4 linked regions of the Saccharomyces cerevisiae S288C genome follow. The protein of the gene in region 4 purifies or fractionates together with the protein of the main gene of each other region. This does not show direct contact. Each region holds a gene or a part of one and is shown on either strand. Other genes may lie near its edges.

Region 1 (3,863 bases), 120 kb from region 4:
AAAAATAGCATAAAATAGTAGGGTCAAACAACAGACCAAGACGAGACTGTAATCATCATGTTGTAATAAGAATCATGTATTAACTATCGACTAGTATTCATGTCAGTAGTATATACTGTCATATACAGTGTAACGTGGGGACATTAATTTTGATGACTTTTTTATGTCCTCACGTTACACCGCATGTGACGGTATACTGGTAACACAAATACTACTAAACAGATGGTATTTTACAGTTTCATTCCAACAAAAGCATGAAGTGTAATTAAAAAAATGCTTTCTTGGCTTGTATTCATCTAATTCATTTGATCATAGCATGTGCTCTATATTGTAATGGCCAAGCTCGGCGTTAAAGTTTTTAGTTGACATATTTATCATCTTGTGTAATATTTAACATAAAATAGGTTAAATTATTGTATCTCAAAATGAGATACGTCAGCCTGACAATACATTATCCTAAACGTTCATAAAATACATATGAAACAATCCTATAACAAAACGAACAACATGAGATAAAACCCGGCCTCCCTTAGCCAAACTACCCAAACATATAAATGCCTGAACAATTAGTTTAGATCCAAGATCCGTGCTTCCACCATTTAGTATGATTCATATTTTATATGATATAGGACAGTTAACATTCCTTGAATCAAGCTGATAATCCGTTTTGACAACTGGTTACTTCTCGAAGACTGTTTATATTAGGATTGTCAAAACACCCCAGTATTATTTGGGCTCGTAATATGATATAAATCAATAGTCATATGGCAACTTGGCCGAGTGGTTAAGGCGAAAGATTAGAAATCTTTTGGGCTTTGCCCGCGCAGGTTCGAGTCCTGCAGTTGTCGTTATTTTTTCTTTTTCTTTTTTTTTTCTCTGAAGCAGAGATGGAGAATAATGAATGCCCTTATTCTAGGACATAATTCACTATATTGTATTGGTTACATACAGCTCTATTTGCTCTTTTTAGAGAACTACGACAGTGTTATATGAGCCAGTTAGTTCTAGACTTAAAATGTTTGAAGGATAAAATAGCAACGAATTACGATATTCATAACAATGTTTACGGTGGAAACGGAATGGAACCAAACATTATTCATCCGTCCAAAAGATTCAGGATTGTTGTTCGATTAGTAGATTTCTTGTTCTGTAAATCGGATGAAGAATTCATTAAAGGTTTTTTCTGTCAAATGATAGTTAGAAATCTTCATTGCCTCAATTCAACAAATGGCGCAGAGGAGATGCGTTTGTATATGAGCGAAAGATTATTTTCAGCCCATAAAGATGATTTGAGATTGATAAATGGGCAGGTACTGGATGTTCGCATTGGGGTATGGTATGGAATACACCAAAGTCCGCCAATTTTTGAAATCATTGATTTTAAGATACTATCCAGGAATGACGTTCGTGATTTCTGTGAATTTGTCAAATCACCACTTGGTGAGAAGTTTCTGAACATCTCTAACTCCTAAGTCAGACGTTTGGCATATACTGAGATTATATAATACCTTTGATAAGAATGTAAGAGGACCCTTGAAAATAGTTATTGTAATGTTATGTAATGTAAATAATAGTATACAGGTGATTCTTATTTATCCCATGAAATAAGTATGAGAAAAGAAAGGAAAGAGGCAATTAGCCCGGTTCTGTTCTAACTAAAAAGCAATTTTCTTTGTATTTCTTCTTCTGTTCTTTAGCAGAATCTTTTGCTTTTCCAATTGTTCTTCCTCTTCCTCGTCACTGTCGATTTCCATATCCTCCTCTTCTTCTTCAGATTCCTCTTGTTCGGATACTGATTCAGCTCTTTCTTGTTCTTTAGCCAACTTTCTGGCAATTTCAACTTCTCTGATTCTCAATAATTCTGGGTTAGATTCGACCAATTTCTTATCTCTTAAGAAGTCCTTTTCTTTGTTACCTCTCATTCTATTCTTGTAGAAGGCTCTTTCACGTTTTTGTCTAATTTCTTCGATTCTAGCCATAGCCTTCAAAGTTGTGGCAACTAACTCTCTATTGTATCTAACAGGGACATTTCTTCTTTGGGCAAAAGTCAAGGTAGAATCCACAGCCAATTCTTTTCCGGCAGCCTTTCTGAAAGCTTTGGTCCATTTTAGTTTTCTTGGGTTACGACGTTGCTTGAATGCCTTGTGACACTTAGAACGGCAGAACCTAAACTCTTTAGCATCGTTACGCACAAACATGATCCCATGACCTGGATAACATGGGGATGAGCAAAAATGGCATTGATAAATTCTCATTTTTTTATACTTACTAAACTTCTACTTCCTTTTCCTTTTAGTTTCTGAATGTAAATCACGGGGAGGTGGTGGTAACAATATGGACAACTCACGCTTGAATAGCAATATCTTTCAAATCACAAGTCGAAGAACTTAAAAGTGGTATATCACGGATCAAGATAGAAACTGATGTAAGTTGGAGATAGGGTGGGATGAGATGAGATGAGTTTAGAAATACATTATTTAATAAAAGACGAGTGAAAATTTTTCACTCCGCTGAGTTCGAGGCGAGCGGGCAAAAAATTTAAAGAGCGAGAATCGGACCAAATGTGAAAGCCATTTGAATCAACGTAGGACTCACTCGACGGAGACCCTTGAACTAGACAAAGTACGAATAGTAGTGGAATTTGTACGTCTCCACTGGCCGAGCACAGTTTAATAAGGTTGCATAAACACTTCCACCCGCACAATATCATGAGTTCTCAAAGTAATACTGGTAATTCTATTGAGGCACCACAACTACCCATTCCTGGTCAAACTAATGGCTCTGCGAACGTTACTGTTGATGGAGCTGGTGTTAATGTCGGTATCCAGAATGGTTCGCAGGGTCAAAAGACCGGAATGGACCTTTATTTTGATCAAGCTTTGAACTACATGGGAGAACATCCTGTGATAACAGGTTTTGGGGCCTTTTTAACTTTATATTTTACAGCCGGTGCATATAAATCAATATCGAAGGGACTTAACGGTGGAAAATCCACTACTGCCTTCTTGAAAGGCGGATTTGACCCGAAAATGAATTCTAAAGAGGCTCTACAGATTTTGAATTTGACAGAAAATACATTGACTAAAAAAAAGTTGAAAGAGGTTCATAGGAAAATTATGTTAGCTAATCATCCTGACAAAGGTGGTTCTCCATTTTTGGCCACTAAGATAAACGAAGCTAAGGACTTTTTGGAAAAAAGGGGTATTAGCAAATAAGGTAAAACGGGAACCTAAAATGAGTTATTGCAATTGCATATATGCCTAATACAAGTGGTATAAACCTCGAACCGTGTTCAATCACATGCCGTTTAGGAGATTAAAATACTTCGGGCAATCAAATGTTTGTATAGATAAGTCTTGTAAATAACACGGAAAGCTATGTATTTTAGTTTAAATAACGTATACGCCCTCTGTGATTAGCGATGAACCGCAACGATCACAATTCTTGCTTACATGGGTAATATAATGCTTGAAACAATCAACATGCCAAATTTGAGACAGACTATTCTCTCCAGTTTCCTCATTCTCTTCTCGGCATGATTCGTTGCCGCACCTGACACCTTGAATTGCCAGCTTGTGGCAATTTTGGCAAGTGTTCAAATTGTACATGGATGTTAGATACTCTTCTAGTTCTGCTATACAGCGAAGATCAATACCGAATTTCCCTTCCTGAGTCCTGTAAAACCATTTCAGTTCGCATAATCGGAGTAGTAAGTCTTCGATGTCCGTTGCTGTTAATTCTTGAAATTGGAAAAGATTGGTGGACCCTACAGTAAACGTACTGAACTTACGCCATTTCGCGAGGTTTGAGTCTCCTGTAGCTGCTACTAGAATACGGTTGACTTCCTTCACAATTATCGAGGT
Region 2 (4,063 bases), on a different chromosome or scaffold from region 4:
TGAATCTTTATTGGCTGTTCCTTATTTTTAGAGTTCTTTACAGGATTCTATGGAGAGGTATTCTCAAGGATGACAGAAGTGATAGTGAATCAGACGAAGAAAGTGATGAAAGTTCCACTACTCCAACTGACAGTACTCCAACGAAAAAGGATATTTGAAGGAAAACGGTGTTTTTAAGTAGTATAACCATTACACATTAATTCTTTACACATTAATTCTTTTACGGTCCTGCTCTCACGTTCTTCCTTATTGGTTTATGTAAACAGGTATTTTTATAGTATTCTTTTCCAGACATACAGTGTTATCTTTTTTTCTTGCTTTCGTGCCGCTAAAGAGCTGTGAAGATCAAAAGTGATTTACGCTTAGTTAGCATGAATATAAATTCTCAGTTGAAAAGAAGCTATGTTACATTTATGAGCGTTGCTTTAGTATATCTATACAAAAAAAAGAAATTTTTATACAATGGTCTATTAAAAAAGGCTTCCAAATAATAGTTCAGCTTATTCCATGTTGATGTTAGTGCTTTCAACAGTGGAGCTATCGTTGTCATAGTAGGCCGACACCTTGACTTTGAATTCAGAAGCAGCGATACCGAATTGTTTCAGTATTAAAGCTTGACGAACATCTAATTTTTCTCCTTCAGTGCAAACTAAATATGGACTGTCAATGGTGATCTTACCAGCTTTGATTTTAGTTGGAATTTCAAATTTGTTTCTCATAGTTGGCTCTAAAGAATGAATCATTGGAACATCTTCCTCAGCTGGAATTTGACCACCACGTGAGTAGACAATGCCCTCAGGAATTGTAAATGTTAGTGGTGCTTTCGTGTTCGGTCTTGAATAGTCTGAACGAACGTATGACTTAAAGTATTCCTTGACAGTGTTGACATCCTCATCAGTGAACAATAAACCAGTGACACCGCTACAAAGCTTACTCAATTGATACAGATTTTCTTTGTATTCTTCTTCCCTCTTTTCTCCCAATGCTTTTTGTAAAACTTTCCTCTTACCCATAATTAACTTAGAGCCTGCCCAAGATGTTCTGATTTCTTGTAAAACTGGAGTTCTTACGTCGTCAAGATGTAGGACCCAGACGTATCTATAAGTATCTAAGGCTTCCCTCACTTCATCGAAAATTCTTTCTTTATTTTCTCTGCCCTTTTTATCGGTTTGTGCTAAAGTGACTAGCTTGGAACGTTTTGATCTTGGCATGATTCAACTATAATAAATCTTTTATGGACGATAGACAGTGATGTACGTATAGCAAAAGGAATCAGCTCTGCTTAGCCAAAGTACTACAAATATTTGCAACTTTTCAAAAGCTCATCGCATTTTTCTGGAAAAAAATTTTTTCTTTCACCTTCGCCGGGTAAAGTCCTAATGGTTGGGTTTTCTGAACTGAAATCAAATTGTGGGATCATAGCCAACAGTAGTTGGAAAGGGGAATAGCTTTGATCATACCCAGGGAAAGACCACTTTCTGGGATCGATACTTTCCTTTCTGTGTGCTTTATTAACAACAATATATCTCAGGTGTGAAAATTTTGGATAAACATTTAAAATAGAAGAGTAGCCAAGCATGTCTGAAAATAATTCGCACAACCTTGATGAACATGAGTCCCATAGCGAAAACAGTGATTATATGATGGATACGCAGGTAGAAGATGACTATGATGAGGATGGCCATGTACAGGGTGAGTACTCTTATTATCCTGATGAAGATGAAGATGAACATATGCTTTCTAGCGTCGGAAGTTTTGAGGCAGATGATGGTGAAGATGACGATAACGATTACCATCATGAAGATGATTCTGGACTTTTATATGGATATCATAGAACTCAGAATGGCAGTGACGAAGACAGAAATGAAGAAGAAGATGGACTTGAACGTTCTCACGATAATAATGAATTTGGCAGCAACCCCCTACATTTACCTGACATTTTGGAAACATTCGCACAAAGACTAGAACAAAGAAGACAAACAAGTGAAGGACTTGGGCAACACCCGGTTGGAAGAACACTACCCGAGATTTTATCGATGATTGGAGGAAGGATGGAGAGGAGCGCAGAGAGTTCGGCAAGGAATGAGCGGATTTCTAAATTGATAGAGAATACTGGGAATGCCTCCGAGGATCCTTATATTGCAATGGAGAGTTTAAAAGAACTTTCTGAAAACATATTAATGATGAATCAAATGGTTGTCGATAGAATTATACCGATGGAAACCTTAATAGGTAATATAGCTGCCATACTCTCTGATAAAATTTTACGGGAAGAATTAGAATTACAAATGCAAGCTTGTAGATGCATGTATAATCTTTTTGAGGTCTGCCCTGAATCTATTTCAATAGCTGTTGATGAACACGTTATACCAATTTTACAAGGAAAATTGGTAGAGATCAGTTACATTGACCTCGCAGAACAAGTTTTAGAAACGGTGGAATATATTTCTAGAGTACATGGGAGAGACATTTTAAAAACGGGCCAATTATCAATCTACGTCCAATTCTTCGATTTTTTAACTATACATGCGCAGAGGAAGGCTATCGCAATTGTTTCGAACGCCTGTAGCAGTATCCGAACGGATGACTTTAAGACCATTGTTGAAGTACTTCCAACGCTGAAGCCAATTTTCTCGAATGCGACAGACCAACCAATATTAACCAGGCTTGTAAATGCCATGTACGGTATTTGCGGGGCGTTGCATGGGGTTGACAAATTTGAGACTTTGTTTTCGTTGGATTTAATCGAAAGAATAGTTCAGCTAGTTTCTATTCAGGATACCCCCTTGGAGAATAAACTGAAATGTTTGGATATTTTAACCGTATTAGCGATGAGTAGTGATGTACTTTCAAGAGAACTGAGAGAGAAAACTGACATTGTCGACATGGCAACACGATCATTCCAGCATTATAGTAAAAGTCCTAACGCAGGGTTACATGAAACACTGATTTATGTCCCAAACAGTTTATTGATTAGCATTTCTAGATTTATAGTTGTATTGTTTCCTCCCGAGGATGAAAGAATACTGTCAGCGGATAAATATACCGGAAATAGCGACCGTGGCGTAATTTCTAACCAGGAAAAGTTTGATTCCCTAGTTCAATGTCTAATTCCAATTCTCGTTGAAATTTATACAAATGCTGCTGACTTTGACGTAAGAAGATACGTACTTATTGCTTTACTGAGGGTTGTATCATGCATAAATAATTCCACAGCAAAGGCAATCAATGATCAACTTATTAAGTTAATCGGATCTATCCTGGCCCAAAAAGAAACAGCGTCTAACGCTAATGGTACTTACTCATCAGAAGCTGGTACACTGTTGGTTGGTGGTCTCTCGTTGCTTGACTTAATTTGTAAAAAGTTTTCCGAACTGTTCTTTCCTTCCATCAAAAGAGAGGGCATTTTTGATTTGGTTAAGGATTTGTCTGTGGATTTCAATAACATTGATTTAAAGGAAGACGGGAATGAAAATATTTCACTTTCTGACGAAGAAGGGGATTTGCATAGCAGTATTGAGGAATGTGATGAGGGTGATGAAGAATATGATTACGAATTTACTGATATGGAAATTCCTGATTCAGTAAAACCAAAGAAAATTTCAATACACATTTTCAGAACTCTATCTCTAGCTTATATTAAAAACAAGGGTGTGAACCTAGTTAATAGAGTACTTTCTCAGATGAACGTTGAGCAAGAAGCAATAACAGAGGAGCTCCATCAAATCGAAGGCGTTGTTTCTATTTTAGAAAATCCTTCCACTCCGGACAAAACTGAAGAGGATTGGAAGGGAATTTGGTCTGTTTTAAAAAAATGTATTTTCCATGAAGATTTCGACGTGTCAGGTTTCGAATTTACTTCTACAGGGCTAGCTTCCTCCATAACTAAAAGAATTACATCCTCAACGGTATCCCATTTCATTCTTGCTAAATCATTTTTAGAGGTATTTGAGGATTGTATTGACAGATTTTTAGAAATCCTACAATCTGCTCTCACAAGGCTGGAGAATTTCTCTATAGTTGATTGCGGTTTACACGATGGTGGTGGTGTATCTTCACTGGC
Region 3 (5,531 bases), on a different chromosome or scaffold from region 4:
CATCGCGAACGAAAAGATAATTTGGGGGTGGTAAAAAGATCGGTGGCATACTTTGGTTGGTTAAATGCTTGGGTAGCTGGGAAGCCAAGGGACGATTGAGTCCCACTCCCTGCTGCTGTTGCTGCTGTTGTTGTTGCTGCTGTTGTTGTTGCTGCAGAACGTTCAGTCCGGGCGGCAAACTAGCCACCGAAACAGGCGTTCCTATATTAAATGGCTGCTGTTGTTGTTGCTGTTGCTGTTGTTGCTGAGTTAACAGTGGCTCGTTCTTCTGCTTCAAAAGATAGGCATTGTTCATCTCCTGATTAACAGAGCCATTAATTGTATTTACAGGCATCCCTTGAGGAAACATTCTTGCTCTATTAACCTTTGGCGAATACACCTGAGGTCCCATGTTTTGCTGCTGGTGTTGTTCAGAAGCCTGCCTCTGAGAGAAAAACTGCTCACCTCCTACAGCTAATACCCTCGGTTGTACATTCATAGATTGCATAATCCTTTTTGACCCTTTATAAATGTATAAAATTGAGTTGCCTGTTTCTAATCGTTCGAAGTATTTCCAGTATGAAAAACAAGGAAGCCCTGATAACGAGACACGCTAATAAACTTCAAACTGATCTTTCTTGTCAGTTATCATTCTACTACTATAATTGAAAAGACTCAATAAAGAAAATATCATAATGATGAAAAAAGAGCGAGCAGCGGGTAAGGACCGAATTCCGTTTGGAATGACTGGTATAATGAGATTTACCTTATACTATAGAGAGGGCTATATCATTACCGAACTTAAGTTTTCTATTGGAATATTATACTTTATAAACTAAATAATTACCCATCTATGTTGTTTCCCCAAGAATGTTTGCTGCCATATAATAAGAACAAAAAAAAAAATAACAAAAAAAAAGAAAAAAAAAATCACTTGTAATCTTAAATTAATATTATACACCGGTTGTCCGTTTTTACCTCTATGCCGTCTTCTCAACTTCTTTCTTCTTTGGTTTTTCTTCCCCTTCCTTTTCAGGTGGAAGGACGAACCAAGGGATTTTACCTCTATTAAAATCATTCAATATTTGCTTAGAAACACCAGACTCATCAGGCTCACCACCCTTCAGTAATCTACCTTGTTTCCTTGCCAGAATTTCAATAAACTCCGTGGCATCCTTCCATCCTGAGATCTCGTAAGTTCTTTCCAAGTGCTTTACCTGACAACGTTTTAAAACACCTGGAATATATTGTTCTGGGTGTGTGACGTGTTCGACTCTGACAACACCTCTGAATAAAATGTCTTCTTCGGAGTCTTTACTAGAAGGCGGCACAATACCTGGACAATCAATCAAAAAAATTCTTTTCATAAGAGTAATATATTGCCAGACCTTAGTTTCACCAGGGATTGGTGCAACTTGACACACCTTTTTCTTTCTCAATGTGTTAATGATGGACGATTTACCAGTGTTTGGATAGCCGATAAACCCTACAGATATTTGCTTTCTATCAGTATGCAACTGTGAGAACTGACGTAGCAACTGAATTAACGAACCTTTACCGAAAGAGTTGGTAATAGATGCGTGAAACGCCAAAGTTGGACGTTCCTTTGACAAATGTTTGACCCAAGCTGCCTACTTGTAAAGTTAGAATTGAAAAAAAAAAACCTTCTGTTAGTAAAAAATACATTTTGTTTCATAATAGGTAATCTTTTGCCCCAAGAGAATGTAATAATCATTGTTATAGCCGAGATTGATTGTTTCGAAGAGTGGATTAAACTAAAAAAAAAAAAAAAGTAGAAAATTGTGAGGATCTTTACTACGAACATATTGTATGGAGCCCGAGATAAAGTCTCAAATAACAAAAGCTCAACTCATAAGATCCTCGCTGTTCTAAAAAGCGAAGGTATACCTTTAAAACAAAGGTTGTCCTTCTAATTTACCCATGAGGCTTCCCCAGAACGGGGAAATATGGATAAGCGAACAGTATTACTCTTCCAAAACAGTAACAGACACTTCTGTAGATAAGTTTATCCTAAAACGGATAGAGAAGCACCCTGACAAAAAGGTTTGGTAATAAAAATCATACTCTATCGAAAAAAAAAATCTCTCGTGCTATCCTCTTGGTTGGAAAGAATCAAAAAAAAAAAAAAAAAAGTTAACATACTGCAACCCAGGTAGGTACCAAATCACACTTATTAAGAACATAAATTAAATGCTTGTGTGGTGTTTCCTTCTTCATATACTCTTCCACGGACTTACAACGGGTACCCAATGGATCCCTTGCATCTAGAACATGTATTACCACGTCAGACGAATCGATGACTTTATATAATTCGTTCCAAATACGTTTGGATTGACCCTTACTGAAAATAGCTTCTTTTGCTGCGGAGGTCCACCCATTTTCTTTGTCTTCCTGGTTCCCCATTAGTCCTAATGTGGCATCTAAGACTTGCTTTTCCTCATACTTGGTAATGTCTTCATTTGTAGCCTTGACCAAGTCCTCTAGATTGGATGCAGCAAGACGTGGTCTCTTTCTTTGGGCTTTGGGCCCAAACGCATCAGCATAACTTTCGGTATCCAAAATTCTGGCTTTTGGGGATTCATCTGCGTCCTTTTCTTCCAACAATGACATGGGAAGCTTATTTCTTCTCAGAAGAACTTGATATGTATCTTTTTGGGTTTCACCCAATGCACTTCTGAAATGCTGCAGTGCGTCCTGAGATATCACTCTTGTGTTACCGAACCAACGACGATCTGGTTGGACCCTCGCATCCGGTATTGTGGAGTCCTGGAAAGAAGCGGCCCTAATTAAATTACCTTTCTTATTCCTGATCTCCTTCCCACTAGTGTACATATTCAGGAATTTGACTCTCTTGGAGTCTCTGTAGAAATTTTCACCCTTCACACGAAGATTACCATCTTTGGTGTCACCTTCACGAATACGTCTAGATTTCTCTTTCTTACCAGTACCCATTGTATTATTCCTCCCCTGATATTTAGTGGTTTTGCTGCAAGTCAACAGATCTTCAAAGTTAACACTTAAGGGAAAGTACTAACAAGTAGTAAATATCTTTTATATATTCTACGCTTCTTTATATGCCCAAAAAGAAGAAAAGTGAAAAATTTTTCTTCAAGCGAAAAATTTTTGCGATGAGCATCGGGCAAAAAAACGTGCTAAATGACAGGTTGTGTTTATATATTTGTTATTGATTCTATATTATAGTAAATTGGTGAGAACATTACCCAAGTCTTTGGACCCAGAGGATTGCTGCTTGATATCAGAGGGAGCATTGGCACGGCTTGTTTCCACACGACGTTGTTTAAATTCCCTGTGAGGGTGAGAATCTGCAGACTCTCCTTCTTTTCCGGCGCGCTTCCTAGAGTTCTTAATGTTTTGTATCATCTTACTTTGCTCCACGTTTCTAATGAATTCCGCGTTCAGTTTGTTGGCCTGCGAGATTTCCATCTCCAACTTGGCCTGTCTGATATCGTTCTCGCGGGCAATCTGTTCAGTCAAATCTGCCCATTTGAAACCTGGGAGGTACTTCACGTTCAGGATATCATCATGGTAGAAAGTACCTTTCTTGCCACCAATAATGTTCCCGTTCAACGTCTCCGCACACAATTTGGCGTCTCTTTTCCTAATAAACTCGGCCCAACCTTCTTCATACTTGTTTTTCTTGTTTCCTCCACCTTTAACTCTTTGCTTGTACTTTTGATCGTCCTCTTTCTTTAGAAATAGTCTATCTACCTCACCAAAACGAGTTAATATTTGTCTCATTTTTGCAGGTTTCATGTAAGGTGGAATACTGGAGAAGTATACCACCCCAGTCTTGTGTTTAGACTTCTTGGCGGCCTTTGATTTTACCAGTTGCCTTAGTTTTTCTGTTTTTAAATCCAGTGAAGTGGTGGACGAAGCTTGTTCTTCTACTTCTCGATCGAGCTTTTCTCCATTCTCTTTATCTGGTTGTTCTACATCCTCTTTTTCTTCTTGTTTTTGCTCTTCTTCTATGTCTGACTCGTTTTCACTTTCGATGTCTTCTACCTTCTTACTGAAGATATCATCCTTACTAGAAATTTTTTTCTTGGTCTGAATTAAGACGTTATGTTGATCGGTTTCCTCATCTGAGGAAAAGTCTTCAAAGTCACTATTTACTTTTTCACTCATGCGTAAAAATTTACTTCACTCTGCTGCAGTAAACTGTTTGCTTTGTACTTACATAGCAATGGGTAGTTTGTCAGGTTGAAATTTTTCAAAATCTTAATAGCGAAAGTTTTACTGCGCAATGTGAGAAAAGCTGGCTATAACGAAGTAATTCAAAATAATAAAACAAGAGAAAGAAAAAATTTACACGTCATTGCCTTTGGAAATGTGATCAGACAGACCCAATATCACCGTTTAAATATTCTTCACGAGATAATGTAGTTTGTCAATTGAAACGCTATTTGGTGGCTGGCTAATCAAATATGGTCGATGAAGGGGTTGTCAATCCAGCAGCCCTTAAAGAATTGTCGCTATCTGTTTGTTCCTATAATTAATTTGCACTGAAAAGATACATGTGCATTATTGCAGTATATTATAAGGAATTCCGGAGTTTTCTAGTAACTTTCTAGTCGCGCAACCGAGAGATGAGTACTACAACGCAACCTATTTGGTAGTGCATCCTACACATTGTGAACGTTTTTGGTTCATATTACAATATTACGATATTACGAATTTTACCCTTTCTTTAATACTAACTTTGATCAGAAAGCACCTTTATCAATATGGCCACGTCTGGGAAGTCGGTCATAATCAAAAGGCTACAGGCTTTGGGGTTTGAAATATCAATATACGAATTGTGAGACTTTGTTTTATCTTAGGGACGAAAATGGATGTGTGAAATTACTTATGGAAGGATCAATAATAGCAACGTTTGCTAATGTGTTAAGATGGCAAAATGCTACTGGTACGCCTCGTTGAGTATCCATCATTATTAATAGCGCCAAAATTGAAACATTAATTGCGGTTTTAGAACAACTTTAGAATTACAGAGCAAGGTGATAAGATCTCAATAGCTTATGAAAAATAATAATTTTTTAGAACCTAATGAACGTGTCGAAACTTTCCGCAAAATATTATGTACATCTCTACTCAACCTTCTATTAGGATCATGAGAAATGTGTTAAAACAGAAAAAATGCACCCTCATAATAAAAAACTTGGCCAAACCAAACCCTTTCTAGTACATCGATATGTATATCACACAATAAAGTCAATGCAGCATAACTTAGAATCGAGGTAGCGACTCCCCGTATTGCTCAAAATGGAAAATTCTATGGAAATAGAATTCATATGACTCTGAGAACTAAAGGAACATTATGACGAACAAAATTGCTATGATGTGAGGAATAAGATGATACAGTCCTACCAAATACCAAAGATCGGGTCGTCGAGGGCGGTATCATATCTAGGGAGATTTCTTTTCAATTAGAGCATATTCATTATCAAGTAACCACCATTTGTATTTTTTTTTTCTTCTCAAGGTAGTTATTCTGTTCTGACGTGCAGAAG
Region 4 (3,994 bases):
GGAAAGTGGCAGCACCGGAGCTGACGATGGTACAGCCGGAGTCGAAACCAGAAGCTGAGGCGGAAATCTCAGAAATAGGCAGCGACAGATGGAGGTTTAACTGGGTGAACATAATAATCTTGGTGCTCTTGGTGTTAAATCTGCTGTATTTAATGAAGTTGAACAAGAAGATGGATAAGCTGACGAACCTCATGACCCACAAGGACGAAGTTGTAGCGCACGCGACTCTATTGGACATACCAGCCAAAGTACAATGGTCAAGACCAAGAAGGGGAGACGTGTTGTAACAGAGTAATCATGTAATATTGTATGTAAGGTTATGTATGTTCGTATGGTATGGAAAAAAAAAAAAAAAAAGGATGCTATGTGGAGAATGTAAGGCGTGGTAGCTCCGGATAATTCAGTCTGTAGGCTTCATCACGGGCAGTGGCCTGACTCTGAGAGCTTGCTCCGGTATTAAGTTGTGCGTTTGAAATTTTCTGGAAAAAAGAAATTGATTGGTTGAAGCTATACTCGTCGAAAGATTTCTTCGGCAGTGGTTGTTGCTCCACCTGCACGGGAGTTGTGTTTGCGTTTATGTTCGGCTTGGCTATATTATTAGCGAGTGATGTTTGCAATTTGCTGTATTGAGAATCAATTTGGGTGCGTAAGCTTTCAATAATTTTGCAGACCGCAGGCACTTCCAACTTTATGAGTTGCAGGTATTCTCTTTTATGAATATACGATGACGACGATGACGACGACGCATCCATGCGCAAAAGCTCAGGGTGTCTAGATAGTTTGTTAGTCAATAAATCCACATATCTAAAATAATAAATAAACGACAGCGACAAGTCGTTGGCCTGGAACGCACACTGTGCCTTTTCCAATATGCCGATGCATGTTTTCAGGTAAATTCTCAATGGTATCGCCGGATTGAAGCGATAATCCTTAGCGTCCTGAACCAATTGCTTACTAGACTTCATGACCTACCGGGGCCAGATAAAGATGCGGAAGGAAGAGAAAAAATGTATAGTGGTTGGTGAACCGCAACAATAATTCGTGCCAACACTTTAATCGAAGCAAAAATTGTCTTGTATGTTATTAATATTATCTATCTAACCATTGATTTACGTATAAAACTGTCGATGCTCATCGCCTAGCAATGAAAAAATTTTTTCTTTTTTTTTTCATTATTTCTCTTTGTTGCGTACTTTTTTTCATTGCGTTTCGCGGCAAAAGCGATTCGAGTTGACTGGAAGTGTGTTATACTATAAAAAGTGTATATGCCTATTTTTGGTTCTGATCTTTACTTTACTGTTAAGTACTGGCTGAGGCAGTAGACTCTGCCTCTGTTACGGCAGCGGTATTCGCCTCGGCATCAGCAGCCGCCCACGGTAGAGTAGGTTCTGTTGTTTTGACGTTTGCCAAGGTACTGTCCAAATGCTCCTTCAGCAAGGCCTCATTACTTTCCTTCTCCGGACCCACCGATTGCGTGATCTCCTGTACACGGTTCAAGAACTTGTTCAAATTGTAGCCCGCAGCAGCATCAGAGACTTCTTGTGTGTAAGGGACACCCCTCAACTCCTTGACTCTTCTTTTGTGCACTTTGCCCTTTAAATGCGTTTTTAACGCTATAGCAGTCTCCATGTATTTGGCACAGTGTATGCAATAGTGCTGACCAAGGCCCGGTTTGGTTTCATCCAATGGCTGGTTCAGAAGCTTCTGTACTGATTCCTTGGTGGACAAATCGTTATAGATCAGGTCCAAGTCTCGTGTTCTTCTTTTAGTCTTGTATCTCTTCACCGAATATCTACCCATGATGCGCTATTGTTTTATCTTCACTTGTCTGTGTGTTTAACTGCCTTTCAATTCACCTCATCTCATCTCCCGCTACTTTCCATATATAAAAGCAAAATTAATTTGCTTTTTCCCCTGTCAGTATAAAAAAATTTTCCGCAGGATATAGAAAAAAAAGAAATGAAATTATAGTAGCGGTTATTTCCGTGGGGTGCTTTTTTACACCTGTACATCTTTTCCCTCCGTACATTTTTTTTATTTTTTTTTTTGGTTTTTTTTTTTCGATATTTTTCCCTCCGAAACTAGTTAGCACAATAATGCTGACTAAGGAAACTTTTCATCTCAGAATTGATGGTCAGTTTGGTTTCTCTAGAGAATAGTTTATAAAAAGATGTTGATGTGGAGCAACCATTTATACATCCTTTCCGCAAGTGCTTTTGGAGTGGGACTTTCAAACTTTAAAGTACAGTATATCAAATAACTAATTCAAGATGGCTAGAAGACCAGCTAGATGTTACAGATACCAAAAGAACAAGCCTTACCCAAAGTCTAGATACAACAGAGCTGTTCCAGACTCCAAGATCAGAATCTACGATTTGGGTAAGAAGAAGGCTACCGTCGATGAATTCCCATTGTGTGTCCATTTGGTTTCCAACGAATTGGAACAATTGTCTTCTGAAGCTTTGGAAGCTGCTCGTATCTGTGCCAACAAGTACATGACTACTGTCTCCGGTAGAGATGCTTTCCACTTAAGAGTCAGAGTCCATCCTTTCCATGTCTTGAGAATCAACAAGATGTTGTCTTGTGCCGGTGCGGATAGATTGCAACAAGGTATGAGAGGTGCTTGGGGTAAGCCACACGGTTTGGCCGCTCGTGTCGACATTGGTCAAATTATCTTCTCTGTCAGAACCAAGGACAGCAACAAGGATGTTGTCGTTGAAGGTTTGAGAAGAGCCAGATACAAGTTCCCAGGTCAACAAAAGATTATTTTGTCTAAGAAGTGGGGTTTCACCAACTTGGACAGACCAGAATACTTGAAGAAGAGAGAAGCTGGTGAAGTCAAGGACGACGGTGCTTTCGTTAAGTTCTTGTCCAAGAAGGGTTCTTTGGAAAACAACATCAGAGAATTCCCAGAATACTTTGCTGCTCAAGCTTAAGTTCTTTTCAAACATTTGAACTAACTTAAAAGAGAAATTTTTTTGATTTAAATTCTAGTTTATTAAACAGTAAATATATTTATACATTATTGTAATACATATAATTATGTGTTTTTTTAAAGTTCAGCATGTTGGGTAGTGATATATCCTGAAGTCAATGGACACTGTTGCTTTTTGTATACCAGCAGGAAAAAAAAAAGCCTGAGCTGCAGTAACGAAGAATTGTTGAATGCGTCTAACAAGAAAGGGAGCAATCGATAACAGGGACGTGCGCCGCTAATGTCATTCAGATTATTCACGAGGACTTCTCAACGTCTCCCTCGCCTTAACTGGGTTAGTCCCATCAGGCGATACGCCAAACAACCTCAATACGATGAAGCAGAGTTGTTTGCAGAGAACATTAACCATGGCGCATATAAAGCAAAGAAAAGGCCATCAGACGAGCATTTCCAATGGCCTGAGAAGTCTCCTGATCAGATCACAAAGGAATCTGAACTCCAATGGGAAAGGATGGCGAAATTATCTGCTGTTGGGCAAGGGATCCTCATTCTCGTGGTAGTGGGTGGGTTGGGAACGGCCTACTTGCGTTGGCCAGAATTAAAATCCTGGTGGTTAATCAAGATGAATGGCGGTCGCATAAATGCAACGCAAGAGCAAAGTGGACAGGATTCGTTGGAAAAATTGATCAGACAAAAGGCCAAAAATCTATTAAGGGAGATTCCTCAAGTGCCTGCCTTTCAACTTGGAATAGATCATCCTGGTGTATACATATGGGGAAGGTGTCATTCTAAGGACTCATTGTTCCCTGTTAGAGTACCTAATTTGGATGGTCGTAAATTCAGAGATATCCTATTAGCTCCCTCTGACGATTTCAACACCAATTTTGCAATTGACGAGAAAGGCGATTTGATATCGTGGGATGATTTGGGACAAACAAAAACGATATTGCCAGATCAAGATTTGACCTCAATGAAGTATTCTAGTCACTTTTTGTACGCTTTGAATAAAAAGGGTGAAATATTGGTCATACCTATAAGAACGCCGGATCTGATAGCTTC

Evidence for each region.
Region 1: the proteins of BUD20 (region 4) and RLP24 purify together in Saccharomyces cerevisiae (affinity purification with western blotting; 5 studies listed by BioGRID, with this or other methods). This does not show direct contact.
Region 2: the proteins of BUD20 (region 4) and MRT4 purify together in Saccharomyces cerevisiae (affinity purification with mass spectrometry; 6 studies listed by BioGRID, with this or other methods). This does not show direct contact.
Region 3: the proteins of BUD20 (region 4) and NOG2 purify together in Saccharomyces cerevisiae (affinity purification with mass spectrometry; 9 studies listed by BioGRID, with this or other methods). This does not show direct contact.

Annotation. Positions count from the first base shown.
Region 1 is NC_001144.5:164,929-168,791, reverse strand, and holds RLP24 (ATPase-activating ribosome biosynthesis protein), read right to left. Parts: upstream 2,256-3,863; coding exon 1,656-2,255; downstream 1-1,655. Other genes in the region: TEN1 (Ten1p), read left to right, coding at 990-1,472; PAM18 (Pam18p), read left to right, coding at 2,709-3,215; Smc5-Smc6 complex subunit NSE1, read right to left, coding at 3,390-3,863. UniProt on the Saccharomyces cerevisiae protein: Involved in the biogenesis of the 60S ribosomal subunit. Ensures the docking of NOG1 to pre-60S ribosomal particles. Activates and recruits ATPase AFG2 to cytoplasmic pre-60S ribosomal particles.
Region 2 is NC_001143.9:423,390-427,452, reverse strand, and holds MRT4 (ribosome assembly factor MRT4), read right to left. Parts: upstream 1,212-4,063; coding exon 501-1,211; downstream 1-500. Other genes in the region: sphingosine N-acyltransferase LAC1, read left to right, coding at 1-158; putative ubiquitin-protein ligase UFD4, read left to right, coding at 1,578-4,063. UniProt on the Saccharomyces cerevisiae protein: Component of the ribosome assembly machinery. Nuclear paralog of the ribosomal protein P0, it binds pre-60S subunits at an early stage of assembly in the nucleolus, and is replaced by P0 in cytoplasmic pre-60S subunits and mature 80S ribosomes.
Region 3 is NC_001146.8:720,161-725,691, forward strand, and holds NOG2 (putative GTPase NOG2), read right to left. Parts: upstream 2,953-5,531; coding exon 2,143-2,952; intron 2,052-2,142; exon of another isoform or gene 1,778-2,051; intron 1,611-1,777; coding exon 960-1,610; downstream 1-959. Other genes in the region: CCR4-NOT core DEDD family RNase subunit POP2, read right to left, coding at 1-487; RNA-binding ATPase activator ESF2, read right to left, coding at 3,196-4,146. UniProt on the Saccharomyces cerevisiae protein: GTPase that associates with pre-60S ribosomal subunits in the nucleolus and is required for their nuclear export and maturation.
Region 4 is NC_001144.5:280,657-284,650, forward strand, and holds BUD20 (Bud20p), read right to left. Parts: upstream 1,801-3,994; coding exon 1,300-1,800; downstream 1-1,299. Other genes in the region: LAM6 (Lam6p), read left to right, coding at 1-287; RFU1 (Rfu1p), read right to left, coding at 363-965; 60S ribosomal protein uL16 RPL10, read left to right, coding at 2,271-2,936; FMP25 (Fmp25p), read left to right, coding at 3,216-3,994. UniProt on the Saccharomyces cerevisiae protein: Involved in pre-60S ribosomal particles maturation by promoting the nuclear export of the 60S ribosome. Involved in positioning the proximal bud pole signal.